Linked DNA regions of Cricetulus griseus. The protein of the gene in region 1 interacts with the protein of each later gene in a pairwise test. Links are inferred from orthologs where the notes say so. Each region holds a gene or a part of one and is shown in the gene's direction. Other genes may lie near its edges. The genes, in order: Cul5, Ccndbp1, Golga2, Htt and Eloa.

Region 1 (4,263 bases):
GCCACCATCAGTGAGAACTTTCATTTTAAAGTATTCCAGATGGTACATTTTATAAATGACTTATTGCCCCACAAATGCTAGGCAAGCTCTTAGACACACACACTCACACACACACACACACACACTCTCTCTTTCCCCCTGACTCGCCCCACTCCCAGATGATTTAGAATTCATCTTTGTAGCAGAAGGGCATCGAACCTGCAATCCTCCTGCCTTAGCCTCCTGTAAGCTTACAGGTCTTACCCACCAGGCCTGGCAAATATGTAATTTAAAAATATATAATATATAATATATAAATTTTGCAGGGCGGCAGAGTCAGTTTGATCTCTGTGAGTTTGAGGCCAGCCTGGTCTACAAGGAAAGTTCCAGGACAGTCAGAGCTGTTACACAGTGAAACTCTGTCTCAAAAAACCAAAAATAAATAAATGAAATAAATAAATAAAATTCAAGGGTCCATGGAGCTTGCTGGCCACTAGCCTAGTTCAAGGTTCAAGTGACCTGTCTATCTTAAGGCAATGTAGCCAGGGAGCGATAGATGTCTTCATGAACACCTTTATAAAGGTACAAAAGAATGCTGTTAGTGTGGTGGTAGTGATGCTCGCCTTTGGTCCCAGCTCTCGGGAGGCAGAGGCAAGGAGAGCTCTGTGAGTTAAAGGCCAGCAAAGTCTACAGAGGAGTGCCAGGACAGGCTCCAAAGCTACACTGAGAAAACCTAGTTCTAAAAACCAAAAATAAATAAACTCACCCTAAACAAACAAAACATCCCCAACCCCCTAACCAAATGTTAGGAATTTGCATAATGCAATAACAGCCAACCTGTGAGATCCCTATATAAACTCTATTCTCTTGTTTAGAGATTCGTGATTTGAAGAGACACAGTTTGGAGAAAATAGTATAGGATGCTCTAGGTCTAGGATTTTTTTAAAAGAGTTTTTTGTTTGTTTTTAAGATTTATTACATATATACTGTTCTATCTACAAGCCAGGAGAGGGCACCAGATTGAATTGTAGATGGTTGTGAGCCACCATGCGGTTGCTGGGAATTGATCTCAGGACCTCCGGAAGAGCAGTCAGTGCTCTTAACCTCTGAGCCATCTCTCTCCAGCCCCTAGGATATGTTTGAAGGAGTCCGAGATTAATAAACACTTCTTGAACAAGCCGGGCATTTTTGAGCAGAGTGATGCTAGTTAACACGTTCGTACATCCATTTACTAAACGAGTAAATCTTGACTGGGCGCCTTTTCCCCGAGTCAGTCTTTACAGAGGACAGCAGTAAAAAAAAAAAAAAAAAAAAAAACCCTTTCCTGGCTAATCTCATCCAGAGCTGCGAATGAATCGCAGTCCCCGGATCTGGGGCGGCGAGCGGGTGGGGCGGCGCCGGCTCCAGCCAATAGGGGGCGCGCTCCGCCCTGCTCCCTGCCTCCGGACCCAGCGGCTTGCAGGCTCCTCGGTTGCTCCCAAGCACGCCCCCGCCCGCAGCGTCACGTGACGCCACCACGGAACCCAAGGAGCCGGGCCTAAGCCGAGTTAAAAGTCGTTGCCGGCGGCCGCCGCGAGTGCAACCCGAGAGGCTCACCCGGAGACGAGTGTGGCAGGCCCGGGGAGGTAGATGCTACCTTTTCCCGGTCAGGTCGGCTCCCGGTCCCTTGCCACCATTCGCCGCTCGCGTCTCCTTGAGCCTTTGCATGCGCTCTCTCGCGTGAGCAGGCCCCGGTTACCATGTAGCGGGAAAGCCTGAGGGAGCACGGGTGCCGGGTACGAGCTCAGCGCTGACGGCACGCAGCTTCGGCGTGTGTGGCCCCCCTTCCCCCTTCCGCCCCCCGCATCTCTGCCGCGGCCCGCGGGGCCCTGCTGGGAACTCCGGCCTCCCGAGGAGGCCTGGCCCCGAGCGCCGCCAATTCTCGCCGCCGCCTCTCGCGAGAGTCCAAGTTGAAGGAACATGGCGACATCTAATCTGTTAAAGGTAAGCCCCTGTCTCCAGCCGGGTTTCTGCTCGCGGCCGACGCGTTTAGTTCCTGGGTGAGCACCGGGCTCCGAGTGAGCGGCGAGATGTGAGAGTGTCTCAGGCTTGTCCACCGGAAGGGACCCGGGACGGCTGCCCCGAATACCCCGACGCCGGGCCCTGGCCTCGGGGTCCAGAGGCTTCGGTGGTTGCTCCCGCTGACTGACTGACTGACTGACTGACTGACTGACTGACTGGGAGGGATGCTTTCAAGGGACCAACCCAGGCTGCGGGCGACAGCAGTGTCGCTGGGCCCCCGGCGGGCGGCCCAGCCATTGTGACTCTTAGGGTCCGTTTCTTCCGAAGCGAGAGTCAAAGACATAATAGGAAAATTCTCGACAAAATGCTGCCTAGCAGGTTTTGACTAGGACCCCCCCCCCCCCGCTTCCTCCCCGGTTCCTTAATTTCTGTTCTCACTCTGCCTCCAGGAAATGCGAGTCAGATAGCAGTGCCTCCCACTCCGCCCCGTTTCTCCCTTTTCTGCATGTTACATCTTCCCTCCAGTTCTCTTGTTCTTGACTTCATGTTCCCATGCTTTTTGTTCCTCGAGGAACTGTCTCTCCCAAGCCTCGACTCCCCTTAGAGGACATCAGGTGACACCCGATGAAGTGCCACCGTCTTTTTAGCTGGTGGGAAAGTTTTTCTTATCAAAGAAGACATTGGGAAGTTTTTAAGTGTCAAGAAAGGCCCGGGGTTGGGGGATGGGGGGCAAATTCTGTTAAAAACTTAGGTAAGGACTGAGGAAGATATGGGGCAGGTTTGAGCTATTTGTGTTTTTAGTTAAGAGTCCTGTCCTAAAAGTATTGACTGAAATGGGGGTAGTGATTACCTGAGGGAAAATAAACACTGTATTCAGGCTCTGTGGATGAATAATAATAATGAAATAGAGAATGTGCCCTCCCCCCCCCCAAAAAAAAGCAGGGTCTCTTTAGCCCCATCTTGCCAGAATTTGCTGTATAACTCAGCAGGCCTCAAACTCACAGAACTGCCTCTGTCTGTGCTGAGATTGAAGACTTGCATCACCACCCTGGAGAGTCCTTTAAAAGGACCTAGATTCCCTGAATTTGTCTCTTGTTTTTTTCTTTGTTTGTTTTGTTTTGTTTTTTAAGACAGGATTTCTCAGGTAGCCTTGGCTGTCCTTGAACTAGCTCTGTAGAGCAGTGTGGCTTTGAACTCAGTGATCTGCTTGTCTGCCACCCTCTTCCCCAGTGATGGAATAAAAGCCATGTGCCACCACACCCATCTGAATTTCTGTCTCTTAAGAGCTTCATGGTATTGAGTTCCTTAACCTCTGCCCAAGCTTCTTCCTTCAGGAAGATGAAATTATCAGTACCATTTTTCATAGCCCTGTTGTGATCAAATGATTTACTTATGATGCTTTAAAAACAGTGATTGCACTTAATATGCAATTCACTAAAGCACTAGAACTTCTGTGCCTATTCCTATAGGAAAACCATTGGGCAGTGGCAACACACACTTTTAATCACAGCACTTGAGAGGCAGAGCAGGTGGAGGCCAGCCTGGTCTACAAAAACAAGTTCCAGGACAACCAGGGCTGTTAATACAGACAAGTTGTTACCCTGTCTTGAAAAACAGCTAACAAGAAGAAATAAACTAAAAAGAAAAAAGAAAAAAAAAAAGAAGAAAGAAAAACAGGTAAAACTGGGCCTGGGGTTGCAGGTCATTACCAATATGAAGGTCACTGAGGCAGGAGGATCATGAATTCTAGCCTAAACTAGTAGTAGTGAATTTGGAACCAGCTCAGACTACATTATATATAGACTAATTCACAGAAATGATATTACTGACTCTACTCTGCTTTGTTTTTCATAATACTGTAGCAAAATTCTTTTTAACATTTCATTTGTTTGTTTGTTTTTTGTTTTTGTTTTTTCGGGACAGGGTTTCTCTGTAGCTTTGGAGCCTGTCCTGGAATTCACTCTGTAGACCAGGCTGGCCTTGGCTGTCTGCCTCCCGAGTGCTGGGATTAAAGCCACCACTGCTCAGCTTAATCCCAACAACATTCTTAAAGTAGAGGCAGGCTTGATGTCTGAATTCCAGGCCAGCCAGGGCTATTGTCAGATCCTGTCTTTAAAACAAAAAAGAAAAAATAAATAAAAGATAAGAGTCTGAAGTCAGATGTCAAACACACTGCAGAGTTTTTGATGACCTTGTCTTGTGAAATAATAACCATGGGAAAAAGCAAATTTTGGAAATGAATATTATTTAGTATGTGATTTATTTTTTATTTCTTTATAGTTC
Region 2 (4,041 bases), on another chromosome or scaffold:
AAGGTGTCCAGAGTGCCATTTTATGCCTAGGGAACCTGTGGAGACTTGGGCTGGACCTTGACCACTCTAGAAACATTACTTCCCAGCCTGTTTTCCCACGGATTATGGGTTTTCTGCTTCCTTAGTTGGGGCCGTTTTTAACTAATCAAATAAATGAATGAATGATAAATATCACGAATGTTGGGCTGGAAAAATAGCATGGTAGTTAAGAGCATGTACTTCACGCTGGGCAGTGGTGGCACACACGTTTAGTCCCAGCACTTGGGAGGCAGAGGCAGGAGGATCTCTGTGAGTTCGACACCCGCCTGGTCTACAAGAGCTAGTTCCACAACAGCCTCCAAAGCCACAGAGAAACCCTGCCTCGAAAAACTAAAAAAAAAAACAAAAAAAAACAAAAAAAAAAACATGTACTTCCTGAGTTCAATTTCCAGCAACTATGTCAGGTGGCTCCAGGTTAGAGCCTCTGTGGGTCCTTTGCATTCATGTGTGCACAGACTTATACATAGCATAATAGAATATAAATATTAAAAGAAAGATCGGGGCTGGAGAGATGATTCACTGATTAAGAGCATTGGCTGCTCTCCCAGAGGACCCTGGTTCAATATCCAGCACCCACATGGCAGCTTTCTATAACTCCAGTTCTAGGGAATCTGACACCCTCACACAGACATACATTCAGACAAAACACCAATGCATATAAAAATTTTTTAAAAAACTAAAAAGAAATACCACACGGATCTGTACTGTAGCTAAACATTGGAACCATGGTGTCTGGGGCTTGGAGAAAGAGTCACAACGGGGATGTCACAGGCAGACTTGCCAGCAAAAAACTCAAGACACATAAAATGGCAAAAAAAAAAAAAAAAAAAAAGTGGTCAGGTCTCTAGTAGGTCAGAGAACGCATGGCTGGGTCTTTAGAAGGCGTGGCAGGTGTGGCAGGGTGTCAAGGTGGGGTGGGGGAGAGGGGCAGGGCCGGGCGCCTGGACCCGAGTCCCAGTCTGTAGGCCTGCTGGGAACCGGCAGCCTGGTGAAGGAGGAGTGTCTGAGTCTCTAGGCCCCGCAGGGGAGCTGTGGGCGGGTCTCTAGGAAAGGGAGGCGTGGCCTGATCTCTAAGTGGATCGGGCAAGAGTAGGCGGGTCTGTAGGCGGAGGGAGGCGTGGCCTGACGGCCTGGCTGTCCGGGAAGGCGGGGTCGCGTCACTGAGGAGGAAGGGGCGGGGCGTGATGTGTCTTGCCGGAAGCGAGAGGTGTTTTCGGCACCGGAAATACAGCGGCAGGGGCCGAACGGCTTAAGCGTCCTAGCTAAGGTACGCTGTGAGACGCTGTGATGGCGAGTTCGGCAGCCGCAGCCTCCTTCCTTGCTCCGACTCTGGAGCAGCTCCGGCACCTGGCAGCGGAGCTGCGGTCACTTCTGCCTCTAGTGAGGGGTGAGTTGTGGGAATCTGAGGCCCGGGGCTCCGGGTAGGGCGGCGGTCGGGCGTCACGTCAGGTGACGTGTCTTTTGCTCACCTGTCTTTTGCTTTGGTGGTCCGGCCTCCCACGCTACACCCTCAAGTCGGCGAAGCCCAGGAGACAGCCGAGGAATTTAATCGAGAGATGTTCTGGAGAAGACTTAGTGAGTTTCTCTGCCGTTGCAGACTCTTCCCTCCTCACTCCTGCCTCCTAACCTCTTTCCCCTCTGTTGTCCCAAGAGGAGGTGACAATCCCTCCCGGCCTCGGGACGATTTCTGGAGTTGTTTTGGAGTTGTTTATGATGATAAGGGTGGAGAAGGGATGCGTTATCTTAAAAAATCCGTGTAGTGGTTGCAGCTTCCACCTTTAACACTAACTTTGGTATCCGCCGCCTCTACCACCCCCAGATGAGGCAGCAGTGAACCTGTCAGGGGAAGCCACGATTCTGACCACACTTTTCTCCCGACTTCCACTGCCGTCTCCACGGGTGAGCTTTACTTCCTGGGATTTGTGTGCTGCCTCTAGTTTTCTTGTCACCCTTTACCCTCAAGCCACGTTTATTTTCTTCATTTATTTAATGAGATTATAGTTCTTACCGCATAGGATTGTTGTGAGGACCAAATAGCCAAGTGCAAACGGTAGAAAGGTCTTTCAAATTCAGTCAGGTTAGTTCCTCGGAATTTTAAAAGCTCTTTTTGATTTATAGCTGTTTCTCATACATACTCCCCATCTGACAGATGAGCTAGTAAGTTTAGAGACTTGGATCAAGATTAATAAATGGTGGAGGTGGAGTTAAAAGCCTACAAAGTATCTAAGCAACAGCTATTGCACAATACCCTTTAGTATTAAACTGTTTACCTTTTTATTTAATTACTAATATGTGGATAAAGTTCAAAAGATACCAGAGTACACTAAAATACATGTATATATCTTCCCACCCCAGTTTATCTTTCTATTTCGTTCCCATTTCCTTCTGTATTACTCCATACAATTTGTTCTATGTATATATACATCGCTCTGTGTGTGCTTCTTTTTACACAGTGGTTAGATACTATAAGCATTGTTCTAGACCTTTTAAAAAGTAATATAGCTTAGAAGTTGACTTTTTTTTTTTTTTTTTTTTTTTTTTTTTGGTTTTTCGAGACAGGGTTTCTCTGTGGCTTTGGAGACTGGAACTAACTCTTGTAGACCAGGCTGGCCTCAAACTCACAGAGATCCGCCTGCCTCTGCCTCATGAGTGCTGGAGTTAAAGGCATGGGCCACCACCATCCAGCTAGAAGTTGATTCTTAATGACACATAAAAAAGTTGCTTAGTTCTTTGTAATACTTGATGTAGAGTAACTATAGCTATAAACAATAGCCCAGGTGGACATTTTAAACTGTTTCTAACTTGCAACTATTGTAAATGGCACTGTAGTGAATTGTCAGTTATAATCTTTGCATACATATATGTATTAATAGAAAAAAATTCCAGAGGTGAACTTACAGGAACAAAGAATTAATGCATTTTAAATAATCGTTTATTATGTAACCAAAAGTAAAGCTGGATATTGGCTGTGATCAACCAACATGTGAATGCCCTGTGCCATATTTTTCTAGAGCTACATGTACTTCAGAGTAGTTTATTTTTTTGTTAAATGTTTATTTCATGTCTATGAGTATTTTGCTTGCATGTATGTGCATATGAATTCTGTGCTTAGTATCTATCCATGGAGGCCAGAAGAGGGCACTGGATTCTCTGGAACTAGAGTTAAGGATGGTTGTGAGCTTCCATGTGGGTGCTGGGAACTGAATCTGGGTCCTCTATAAGAGCAGCCAATGCTCTTAACCTCTGAGCCATCTCTCCAGCCCAAAGAGTAGGTTATTTTATGACGACATAGTCGTTGCCTCAATTTTCATAGTAGTTTCAATAACTATGTATCCAGATGTTGTATTTTTGTTTATTTTTTCACTCACATATAACTATACAAATACTCTACTACTGAGCTACACATGCATGAATGTTTTCTTTTGGTTTTATTGGTTTTCTAGAGACATGGTTTCTCTGTGGAGCTCTGGCTGTTCTGGAACTCACTCTGTAGATCAGGCTGGCTTTGAACTTGGAGATCTGTCTGCCTCTGCCTCCTGAGTGCTGGTATTAAAGGTGTGCGCCACCACCTAGTATGAATGTCTTAATGTGATAGAAAGTTCCTTTTACAACATAAAATTATAAAAATACATACCCCTCTTTCCTGTACTTTTTGTTGTGTTTTTTTTTTTTTTTTTGTTTGTTTGTTTTTCCAGACAGGGTTTCTCTGTGTAGCTTTGGAACCTATCCTGGCACTTGCTCTGTAGACCAGGCTGGCCTCGAACTCACAGAGATCCACCTGCCTCTGCCTCCCTAGTGCTGGGATTAAAGGCATGAGCCACCGACGCCTGGCTCTTTTTGGTTTTTTGAGATAGGGTTTCTTTGTGTAGCTCTGGCCATCCTGGAACTAGCTGTATAGACCGGACTGGTCTAGATCTCAGAGATCCATCTGCCTCTGCCTCTGCCTCTGCCTCTGCCTCCTGAGTGCTGGTACTGGGATTAAAGGTGTGTGCCACTACTGCC
Region 3 (3,513 bases), on another chromosome or scaffold:
AGTCCAGTGGGGTCCCCAATTCTTGCTGCCAGTCCTGGGCTTCAGTTTCCCCTTGGGGCTCTGAAGAGAGAGACTGGGGGCTCCTGGGACCTAGGGGCAATGGGAAACCTGGGGGCCTCAGTCTCAGCTGGAGGCAGCCAGAGCATAGAGCATGCAGCATGGCTCTTCTCGTTGCTCTCCACCTCTTTTCTGTACTCCAGACTCCTAGCCTGAGTCCTCACCCCACTTGTCCTGAGCTTGGTGCCTCCAGTGGAAGAGATCACAAACCCGATTGGTTGTCAGGAGCCCCATGTCCTGCCCTGGCTTAGGTCCTGATTTGCTCTTTGATTTTGGTTACACCATTCCCTGGGTTTGAGTTTCCTGTTGAGGCAGAGTTGGAGAGTGTCAGAGACCTCTTTCCACTCTTAAGTAGCAAGAGTTTAAAGGCTTACTGAATTGTCAGAACCAAGTGCTCTCCCATTCCTCTCTTGGCTATGCAAGATACAGTCAGTTCTTAATTCAGCACACTGTTCCAAGTCCCCAAGTTGGCAGAAGGTAGTCTTCTTTCTCAAACTCGTTTCTAGTGTTACTGTCCTTTAACTTGGACCCAGATTTAAACCTCTGTTGTATAGTTGTGAATGAGAGGCAGCCAAGACACAGACTGTAGTTTGTTGGGAGCTTGGGAAGTTTGTTGGTTCATGTGCCCATGGGGGTCTGAGCACCTTTTTCAAATCCATCCCCCTGCTCTGTCTTGGTATGGGGTAGCATAAAAGGGGCTAGCCCCAGTCACCTTCCTTTGACTCTTCCCACAGAAACAACAGAACCAAGACACTCTGGATCAACTGGAAAAAGTACTGTGGTTTCTGTGTTTGCTCTTTTCATGGCTGATGGGGTTGTGGGAGGCCTCAGAGTTGCAGATTTTGGTCTTGCTTGATTCTATCCTGGAGAAGACTCACCCCACAGGGTGTCCTCCATAGGATCCTTGATAACCTGTCCTGGGCCACTGGTGGCTTTCTGGGGCTCGTCCATTGCTGGGATTCTGCTTCCCTGCTAAGAACTGCATTTCCCATGCCTGCAGGAGAAGAGGGATTATCAGCAGAAGCTGGCAAAGGAGCAGGGAGCTCTCAGGGAACAACTGCAGGTGAGTGGCCTGTGTGATATCCCTATGTCCCCCAGAGAGCATCTCTCCTTCCTCTCAGCACTTTTGGGGGCTTTTCTTCCAAAGGTTCACATTCAGACCATAGGCATCCTGGTGTCTGAGAAGGCAGAATTACAGACAGCCCTGGCTCACACACAGCAAGCAGCCAGGCAGAAAGCAGGTAGGATCAGAGCATTCTTCAGCCTTGTGCTGACGCCTTGGCAGGCCTGAGGGAGGGTCCCTGGGGCTCCATGTAGACGGCTCTCATTTCAGGAGAGTCAGAGGATCTTGCCAGCCGCCTGCAGTCTTCCCGACAGCGTGTGGGAGAGCTAGAGCGGACGCTGTCTACTGTGTCAACGCAACAGAAACAGGCGGACAAGGTAGGACAAGTTGCCTGTCTGGCCATCAGCAGCTTCCTGGTAGACAGTGAGCTTACAGGACTTTTCTGCATGGTCTAGTGCCTTGCTGCTGACAATTTAGCATGAGCTGTTTGTTGCTGCTTTTGTTGTGAGGTTGGAAGAAGCAAACTGGGGAAGAGTCCACAGCTGGGTAACTGAGGGCTGCACAAGTGAGCTCTGGATGCAAAACCTAGAAGCAGGCTATGACCTCAGCTGGCTGTAACCTTGGCCAAGTGCTGATAGAGGGGATATAGCCCCTGGGCTGTGGAAGTACAGAAGAGCTTATCACTGTGCCACTGTGGGTAGGGTAGTGTGTGTACAATACATGTAGAGTATGTTTGAGATGACTGACAAACTCGGAGCTGGGAACAGGATGACAATCGGGAGGCATTTTGCTTCTATACCCTCTGAGTTTTGGATTGTGTGAATAGACCATCTGTTCAGAAGAGAGCACAAGATCCAAATAGAAATTAACTTTCTTCCTCTTAATTGCAACTCTGGGGGAAAGGGCCTAGAGATTTAGATACCCCAAAATGCTCAAGTTCCATCTCTGCTAAGTGACTTCAAGCCAGCACTTTTGTACACTGTGTTTCTGCCCAGTGGGGGTGACAGCAACTGTTGTCAATGGGTGTGAAGATTGGATAGGTTAGCAGTGAAGTGCTCAGTGCTGTAAATGCCTCAGCCTCCACGTGCTAAGATCAGTCTAAACCACCATGTCCTGGTCCCAGTCTTTTTTCCTGCCTGCTTTGTGCTTATGGAGTTCTTTGTTTGTTTGTTTCTTTTTTTTTTATTTTTCAAGACAGGTTTTTCTGTGTCACCCTGGCTTTCCTGGAACACTCTCTCTGAGATCTGCCTGCCTCTGCCTCCTGAGTACTGGGATTAAAGGTGTGCACCACCACCACCACCACCATCACTTGGTACAGTTCTTTTATTTATATTGTTAAGGTTTATTTACTTTTTAAAAAAAAAAAAAGATTTATTTATTATGTATACAGTATTCTGCCTACTCACCAGCAGAGGGCACCAGATCTCATAGATGGTTATGAGCCACCATGTGGTTGTTGGGAATTGAACTCAGGACCTCTGAAAGAGCAGCCAGTGCTCTTAATCTCTTTTATTTTGTGTGTGTGTGTTGCTTGACTTCATGTATATGCACCTCAAGCATCACTGGCGCCTGCAGAGGGCACTTGGATCCCCTGGAACTGGATTCACCATGTTGGTGCTGGAAACCAAACCCAGGTCTTCTGGAAGAACACCTGGCCCTTTTACTGAGTTTTTCCTTTTTTGTTGTTGTTTTGTAGTCCTGAATAGCTTGGAACTCAGAGAGATCTGCCTACCTCTGCCTCCCAAGTGCTGGAATTAAAGGGTTGTCCCACCACAGCCTGGTTCAGGAGTTCTTATTAAACAAAACAAAAGGAGTGTGTGTTGGGGGGTTGGGTGTTTTCGAAGCACTCAGGAGGCAGCCTGGTCTACATAGTGAGTTCCACCACAACCAGGGCTATATAGAGAGGATCCTGTCTCAAAAAATAAAAAATTTAAATAATTCTTTTTTAATAAAGAGTGAGCCAGATGGAGTGACACATCCCTGTAATTCTAGCACTTGAAAGAGAAAGGCCAGCCCCGTCTGCCTGAGACTGTCTCATAAAACCAAAATAATTGCTGGGAAGGTGACACATAGCTGTGATCTCAGCATGGGGAGGCCGAGACAGGAGGGTTCAAGGCTAGCTTGGGCTATAGTATAGATTCTAGGCTTGCCTGGTTGCTTAGACCCTGCTTCAGGAGAAAAAATGAAAGAGAGCTAGTGTATGATTGGTCAGTGATAGAGTAACTGATTAGCCTATACAAGAACTTGAGTTTGGTTCCCAGCTTTGTAAAAAAAATATTATTAATTAAAAACAAAAACAGGGCTGGAGAGATGGCTTAGCAGTTCAGAGCACAGGCTGCTCTTCCAGAGGATTCAGGTTTGATTCCCAGTTACCCACATGGTGGCTCACAACT
Region 4 (3,513 bases), on another chromosome or scaffold:
TTGCTAGTGTCCCTGGGAGCTGGACATTGCCATTGGGGCTTGGCTTTTACCACATGACATCAGAGGTACAAGGCTCTGTAACTAAGTTTCCTTCCTTCCTTTCTCTCATTTACTTGTGCTTAGACACTACCTTCACTGAGGCAAAGTTTGTTTATGGAATTTGTCTTTTCTTACTCTTTCTAGCCTCCTTGTCTCCTTGAAATATATCTTTTATTATATCTTTTCTAGTGTCAGAATCTTCATGACTCAGAACACTTAACATGGCTCATTGTGAATCACATTCAAGATCTGATCAGCCTGTCTCATGAGCCTCCAGTACAAGACTTTATTAGTGCCATTCATCGTAATTCTGCAGCTAGTGGCCTTTTCATCCAGGCAATCCAGTCTCGTTGTGAAAATCTTTCAGCTGTAAGTCTTTAGCCTGCTAGTTTGCTTTCTCTGCCTTAAAAATGAATACTGGAATTTTGTCAGTACCATTACCATTCTGAGAAAAAAATTCTTGTTCCTTTCAACATTAGCCAACCACTCTGAAGAAAACACTTCAGTGCTTAGAAGGCATCCATCTCAGCCAGTCTGGTGCTGTGCTTACACTATATGTGGACAGGCTCCTGGGAACTCCCTTCCGTGCGTTGGCTCGCATGGTCGACACTCTGGCCTGTCGCCGGGTAGAAATGCTTTTGGCTGCAAATTTACAGGTACTGAAAGATGGTGATTTATATAAAAACTTAGCAAGTCAATCAAAACATTTAGTCTATCACCTGCAATTGATTGGCTACTGATAGTAGCATGTATGCCATGTTTGTTGTTCATATGTCTGACCAACTGCTTCTAGTCTGCTCTTAATAGATGTACTGTGCATAGCAGTTTATCTTTTTAAAATGGATGTGAGGTTATATGTCATGAAATCCCTAATGTGTTCTTGTCTGTGTAGAGTAGCATGGCCCAGTTGCCAGTGGAGGAACTGAACAGAATCCAGGAGCACCTCCAGAATAGTGGGCTTGCCCAAAGGTAAGGCTGCAGCATGGGATACTGGCTTTTTAAATTAAAAACAATTGTATTTTATATACCAATCCCAGTTCCTTCTCCCTCCTGTTCTCTGATGCCCCCCCACCAAGCCCTCATCCCACCCCCCCCATCCATTCCCCAGGGAGGGTGAAGCCTCCCATAAGGGTTCATCAAAGTCTGTCACATCATTTGGGGCAGGGCCTAGGTCCTCCCCCATGTATCTAGGCTGAGATAGAATTCCTCCATAGGGAATGGGCTCCCAATAGGGATAAATACTGGTTCTACTGCCAGAGGCCCCATAGACTGCCAGGCCTCCCACACTACCTGACTCCTAGCATGTGCACATCATATTTATGTCTTGTTAAGTGCCATCTCTTCATAGCTATTTGTTTGCATAACTGTTTGAAAATCTTTTAGAAGCCTTTATTAGAAACATTTCCATCTGTAATATGAGCATAGTTCCTTGTCTACAAGGTAAATTAAGAAAACCCTTCATCTCATCTCTTCCACTGCAAATGGGAGTGGGGACCACACATATGTACATCGGAGAGGACGATTCTGTCATGATTTTAGTCTTCAGAGGGTTTTTATGGTGGTGTTTCTTAATGAGATAGAGGATAGCCTGGATGGTTTTTCAGTCTTCGGAGCCACATGATGTTGTCATTTGACATATGAAGTATCATGTTGGCTTCAGATGGCAAGAGAGCAAATTATCATTGTTTGATTATAGATGTAGTCATAGACCAAGATGAGGAAGATTATAACAATAATACTTTAGACCAAATGAAATGATTCTTTGGTGGAATGTCATTATGGGGAATTAATAGAGTTTGTACACTTGGATCTTAGAAGAATTTTTCTATTTTGCATATATTACATTGGCTAAGGATGTGTAGCTCAGTAGTAGAGCACTAGTCTAGCATGCACAAGTCCCTGGGCTCAATCCCCAGTACCTTCAAGAAAAAAATAGAATAGTTTTTTTAGCTGTTATGTAGTGCATTGCCTAATGGAATGTTGAGCATAAATGAAGTTTCTGGAAAATATCAACCAGGTATCAATTGTGGTAATTTAAAGTAACTGGGGCCTAAATATGCATCATTACTATAGAATGTTGAAGGGAAAGTTCAAAACATGTTGCATCTGGTTTTAAGAAGCTACTTTCGTTCATTGATGTTACATGTTTCTAGGATCCATCTTTACAAAACTGAGATTTCAAACTAAAGGACAAACTGATCTGTGGTTTCATTTGTATTTCAGACACCAAAGGCTCTATTCCCTGCTGGACAGGTTCCGACTCTCTACTGTGCAGGACTCACTTAGCCCTTTGCCCCCAGTCACTTCCCACCCACTGGATGGGGATGGGCACACATCTCTGGAAACAGTGAGTCCAGACAAAGTAAGTATCCTGTATAGCTAAGTGTGATTACCAGGGACCACGTGGAGACAATGACAGCCTCTGTCTAGAATGAGGGTAAGGGTAGGTGTGAGTACACACAAGGCCCCTGACACTCAGCTCAGGTTATTAGCAACTCGGCTTGGGGATTAGAGTGTAATATGGAGTCCCTGAGGTCCTAATGAGAAAAGGAGTGATGATGGGTAACTCTTGTGGAGGAGTGTGGAGTCAGGGTCAGGTGGCTAGTGGTTAAGTCAAAAGAATTTGGTTCTGGGCCAGGGGCTATGACTGCAAACATTGTTCTAGCACATGCTGACAAGCCAGCCTGCCTCCCTCTCCCTGAACCTTGTACTTCCTATGAAGTGTTGCACCTACTGCCACCCAGTATAATGTATTGTCCCCTTCACCATTCATACGTGAGAGTTGGAGGCTGTTAGGGCTTTGGGGGAGAGGAGATGTGATTTTAGAAACCTACAGCTCATGGAAGAAAGCATACATTTGCCCCAGGCTTGCTCTGACTGCTGAGGAAGATGAGGGAGACACACATTCCAGTAGAGTGAACATGAAGCATTATCTAAGTAGCAGGTAGAGGAAAGGTTGCTAACCCTCAGAACTTTGCTGAGTTTGCAAGGACTGCTAGATGTTCCACAGGTGGAAAAGAAGAGGACATTCAGGCACAGGACAGCAGAGAGAAGACTTGTGAGTTGTATGCCCAGGGTGTGTCTGATGTCTGTACAGCCAGCCAGAGTCACAGTGCTATATCACAGCCCAGAGGAGCAGCCAAAGTGCCTATTCAGTCACATTGACCTTTTCTTTTTCTTCTTCCCAGGACTGGTACCTCCAGCTTGTAAGATCCCAGTGTTGGACCAAATCAGATTCTGCACTGCTGGAAGGTGCAGAGTTGGTGAATCGCATCCCTGCTGAAGACATGAATGACTTCATGATGAGCACGGTAGAGCAGCAATCGGGGGGGGGGGGGGGGCAGGGAATCCCCAGCTCTGCTTGTCTTTCTGAGTTATACTTGTGCCTTAGTTAGAGTTTCTGTTGCTATGGTGAAAAACCATGACCAAAAAGCAAGTTGGGGAAGAAAGGGCTTGGCTTCTTACTTCTACATC
Region 5 (4,011 bases), on another chromosome or scaffold:
GTAGAAGTATTCTGGAACTAGCTCTTGTAGTCAAGGCTGGCCTTGAACTCACAGAGATCCGCCTGCCTCTGCCTCCTGAGTTCTGGGATTAATGGCGTGCACCACCAACGCCCAGAATAAGTCCCCTCTTTCCTTTTTTCACATAGGGTCTCATGTAGTCCTGGCTGGCTTTTAATAAACACCTAATCCTCAACCTAAGTGAGTTGGGATTAACAGCCAGAACCACCACACCGTGCCTAATTCATCATTTTCCAAGACTGCTGTGTGCCAGTTTCTTAACATAGGTCTCACAAATCTAGTAAGTAGGAGGAAACAATGTCAGGGTTTCCATAATGACCAGAAGCCATCGTGGGCTCAGGAACTAGAACTCAGGTTGTCACTGGTCTTTACTCCCATCATCCAAGCAAGTTCAGGCGATGCCTCTTCCTAAGAGAGAGAGAGGTGGAGCTTAGGGCACGAGAGGCCTTCGGGGACACCCCTAGAACTAGTGTCCCTCACTTAGCATAGTATGTCTCACCTTAAGAATGTCACTTGAAGCCGGGCGTTGGTGGCACACGCCTTTAATCCCAGCACTTGGGAGGCAGAGGCAGGCGGATCTCTGTGAGTTCGAGGCCAGCCTGGTCTCCAGAGCGAGTGCCAGGACAGGCTCCAAAGCTACACAGAGAAACCCTGTCTCAAAAAAAAAAAAAAAAAAAAAAAAAAAAAAAAAAAAAAAAGAATGTCATTTGAACTAGAAAACAGGACTGGACTGCTTTCTGCAATTGAAGACAAGATGGTTGGAAATGTATTGTTGTTACTTTTGTTTCTAGTGTTTCAAATTGCCTTGGAAGCAGACACAGAGCAATCTGGATTGCTCTTTACCAAAATTACAATACTGTTAAGTTACTTTAAATTACACGATTTCTTGTTGTATGGGTGTGCCACAGCTTTTAGGTGGATATCAAATAATTTACAGGAGTCAGCTCTTTCCTTTCACTCCAAGGGTCCCAGGATGGCCCCTGGGGTCTCTGTGGGACCCTGGACCCAAGCACTGACACCACCGTCAGGTGTAGATGAGGGTGTGGCTCGCGGAACGGGACAGAGTGAGCCCGAATTTGGCTAGCGGATTTCAGCGCCTCTGCCGGGACACAAGGCCAGGGGGCGTGTCCGGAGGCGTGGCTCTGGGCTGGGTGTGTCGGGGGCGTGGCCTGCTGCCGGTGTCGGAGCAGGGCGGATCGCGGAGATGTTGTGGGCGTGGTCTGGCGCGGGGGCAGGTCCTGAGGCCGTCCCCACACGCCCCCCAGCGGAGGCCCGGAAGGGACCATTCGCGCTTCCGTCTCCGCCGGGGCCGCACAGAGGGCGGAGTTGCGGCCCGAGGACGCAACGCGAGCCCAGTTCCGGCGAGGAGGCCGCGCCAGTGACAGCGATGGCGGCGGAGTCGGCGCTCCAAGTTGTGGAGAAGCTGCAGGCGCGCCTGGCCGCGAACCCCGATCCTAAGAAGGTGAGCGGCCGGCGGGCGGGAGGCGCGGGCGGGCGTTGGGCTCGGCGCGGGCCCGGTAACGGTCGCGGGCCGGGTGCGGCCGGGTCCTCCTCAGACCCGGAGCCAGGCCCCGCGGAGCGGCGCGGGGCAGCGAGGAGTTCGGAGTTCGCAGCCGGCGGGCGCTCCGGGCTGGGTGCCGAGGACTGGAGCGGGGCCGGGCGGCTGCCGGCCGGGCCTTCCCGCTTTCCCCGGGCTCGGGCGGCCGCGCCAGCTGCTTCGCCGGCCCCGCCGAGCGGCCGTCCGGCGGGTTGATGTCCGTGGCTCGGCCGCTCCCCGTCGCGAGGACCCCGCGCTCCCCTCTGCCCTTTAACCGGGCAAACGGGGGAAGCCTCGGGTTTTCGATCCCTGCTCCTGGAGCGCGGGTCTTGGGCGAGGGCGAGAGAGTATTTATGACACGTCTCTGACTTAGGGAAGGTGGGAGCCGCCGGCGACGAGGAACCATGTTTAATTGCACTTAACTACTTTGTTGCTTCTGTTAGAAACTGTTACCTTAAACACGTTGTTCCCCCTCCTCGTCTCCCGGTGACCCGGCTTCTCAGTGGTCCAGGATAGTGATGGAAGTTAGAATAGTGTCCATTGAAGTCTCTGGGTGAAAATACCGAAGGGTGTGACGTTGCTTGTCAGCGCTCTAGCCTGGGCCCGCGGTTCCTAAAAGGTGAAGAAGTCTCCGGCGGCGGCGAGCTGAGTGGAAGAGGAAGTAGTGGAGGGAGGGAGGCAGCGCACTGACTTCCAAGTGCACTCTAGGTTCCCATCCAGCACCAGCTCTGGACTTTGGGGTAGGTCTTTGCTCAGCCTGCCACTAGTTTCTTCCTGAAATGCCAGCTGGACCCAAGTGCTCTGTAAGTGTATAATCGCCATCTTTCAGAATTTCCAGCCCAGGACCCCATTTACTCAGAGTTCCTAGCGAGTCACGGAGTCATTTTTGAAGGTTTCACGCTCCCTCTCATCCCCAGGCCACTTTTTAACAACCTCATTCTGTTCGCAGATACGTTTCTTCAGAAAGCTGTGTTCTAAATCAGTGAAAACTTAAGTGTTTCCAGTTGTCTTGTGTTTTACTTTCCATGGAGGCTTTGGTACCCTCCGTCAGTCATTTACAATAACCCTTTGTGGGCATCTAATAAATGGTCATTAATTTCAAGTACCAGTACACTTTAAGATTTGCGACTGACCTTAAAGTAACACCCTCATTTGGTCATTCTGTCCCATTAGATTAAGATAAAAAGTTCTCCATATACTATCTGTAGGATTTTTTTCCCTGTTAGAATTTAGATTTTGAAATGGCCTGTCTAGTTGTGCATGAAATGTTGAGTTAGGAAAAGTTTATGTAGTTTTTCTTTTTTCTTTTTTTCTTTCTTTTTTTTTTTTTTTTTCCTGGTTTTTCGAGACAGAGTTTCTCTGTGGCTTTGGAGACAGACCTGGAACTAGCTCTTGTAGACCAGGCTGGTCTCGAACTCACAGAGATCCGCCTGCCTCTGCCTCCCAAGTGCTGGGATTAAAGGCGTGTGCCACCAACGCCCGGCCTTATGGAGGTTTTCTTGAACCACTAGTCATTTTTTTCAGAGGGTGTTGTGGTGTTTTTGTTGTTTTGGTTGGTGGTGGTTCTGTGGTGCTGGTGCTTGAACCCAGGGACTCATGTGCTAACACCAGTAGGCAATCACTCTACCACTGAAAGCCCTATTTGGCTTTTCTTTTCCTAGATAGAAAATTACCTTGGGGCTGGGATGCAGTTCAGTAGCAGCTATATGGGCTCCTGGGTTCTGTGCCCATTGGGGTGGTGGTGTGAGGTGAGCAATGTTAGGAGAACGGTGAGACCCCTTTCCAAAGGGCCAGATAGTTGACATTCAGAAACAAGCTGACTGCAGAGGGAAAATTGCAAGCTGGCATACTGGCTTTCCAACCTCCTCTTAACACAGCAAGCTCTCACAGGTTCTTGAAATGGCAAGATGATTATAGAGCAGTATTGAATTTGCAACCAGATCTTGCTTCCAGACCATTATTAGCCAAAAGGCTGATTTCACACCTGTCTCTGGGACTTCTGCTATTGGGCTTTGGTGCTTTAAATGTAAATATGCTATGTATTCATTCTACATTCAGCCAAGGTCTGGCCTGCATGCATGTCTGTGTAAGAGCATCAGGTCCCCTGGAACTGGAGTTACATACAGTTATGAGCGCCCATGTGGGTGCTGGGAATTGAACCTGGGTCCTCTGAAAGAGCAGTCAGTGGTTTTAACCCCTGAGCCATCTCTCTGGTCCCCATGTTCCTTTTTTTAATGTTAGGTGTTTTCTTGGCTTGTTAAGCTGTGGAACCAGTTTCAATATGGGTAAAATAGAATAATACCCACTAGACAAGGTCAAATGAGACAAACTTAGCATGATACTGGCACACAGTAGATGCTATGTAAATGTCTTCCTTCTAGGGATTCACATTGGAGAAGAACCACCCATTTTAACTCCTTCTAATAATGCCAGATTTCACTTTCAGGAGATGTTAA

What was found.
Region 2: the proteins of Cul5 (region 1) and Ccndbp1 interact in binary tests that used the Homo sapiens proteins (3 or more experiments, as listed by UniProt). The two-hybrid records come from large-scale screens. The link is inferred for Cricetulus griseus from reciprocal best matches to the Homo sapiens genes CUL5 and CCNDBP1.
Region 3: the proteins of Cul5 (region 1) and Golga2 interact in binary tests that used the Homo sapiens proteins (3 or more experiments, as listed by UniProt). The two-hybrid records come from large-scale screens. The link is inferred for Cricetulus griseus from reciprocal best matches to the Homo sapiens genes CUL5 and GOLGA2.
Region 4: the proteins of Cul5 (region 1) and Htt interact in binary tests that used the Homo sapiens proteins (3 or more experiments, as listed by UniProt). The link is inferred for Cricetulus griseus from reciprocal best matches to the Homo sapiens genes CUL5 and HTT.
Region 5: the proteins of Cul5 (region 1) and Eloa come close enough for resonance energy transfer, tested with the Homo sapiens proteins (3 studies listed by BioGRID). The link is inferred for Cricetulus griseus from reciprocal best matches to the Homo sapiens genes CUL5 and ELOA.

Annotation. Positions count from the first base shown.
Region 1 is NC_048597.1:165,392,451-165,396,713, reverse strand, and holds the start of Cul5 (cullin-5), read left to right. Parts: upstream 1-1,462; 5' UTR 1,463-1,938; coding exon 1,939-1,962; intron 1,963-4,263. UniProt on the Homo sapiens protein: Core component of multiple cullin-5-RING E3 ubiquitin-protein ligase complexes (ECS complexes, also named CRL5 complexes), which mediate the ubiquitination and subsequent proteasomal degradation of target proteins.
Region 2 is NC_048599.1:57,429,863-57,433,903, reverse strand, and holds the start of Ccndbp1 (cyclin-D1-binding protein 1), read left to right. Parts: upstream 1-1,238; 5' UTR 1,239-1,326; coding exon 1,327-1,426; intron 1,427-1,554; coding exon 1,555-1,614; intron 1,615-1,858; coding exon 1,859-1,938; intron 1,939-4,041. UniProt on the Homo sapiens protein: May negatively regulate cell cycle progression. May act at least in part via inhibition of the cyclin-D1/CDK4 complex, thereby preventing phosphorylation of RB1 and blocking E2F-dependent transcription.
Region 3 is NC_048599.1:144,032,354-144,035,866, forward strand, and holds part of Golga2 (golgin subfamily A member 2), read left to right. Parts: intron 1-791; coding exon 792-830; intron 831-1,057; coding exon 1,058-1,120; intron 1,121-1,204; coding exon 1,205-1,298; intron 1,299-1,390; coding exon 1,391-1,497; intron 1,498-3,513. UniProt on the Homo sapiens protein: Peripheral membrane component of the cis-Golgi stack that acts as a membrane skeleton that maintains the structure of the Golgi apparatus, and as a vesicle thether that facilitates vesicle fusion to the Golgi membrane.
Region 4 is NW_023276807.1:103,856,181-103,859,693, forward strand, and holds part of Htt (huntingtin), read left to right. Parts: intron 1-228; coding exon 229-408; intron 409-518; coding exon 519-695; intron 696-931; coding exon 932-1,008; intron 1,009-2,262; coding exon 2,263-2,401; intron 2,402-3,227; coding exon 3,228-3,350; intron 3,351-3,513.
Region 5 is NC_048595.1:17,291,665-17,295,675, forward strand, and holds the start of Eloa (elongin-A), read left to right. Parts: upstream 1-1,207; 5' UTR 1,208-1,222; coding exon 1,223-1,480; intron 1,481-4,011. UniProt on the Homo sapiens protein: SIII, also known as elongin, is a general transcription elongation factor that increases the RNA polymerase II transcription elongation past template-encoded arresting sites.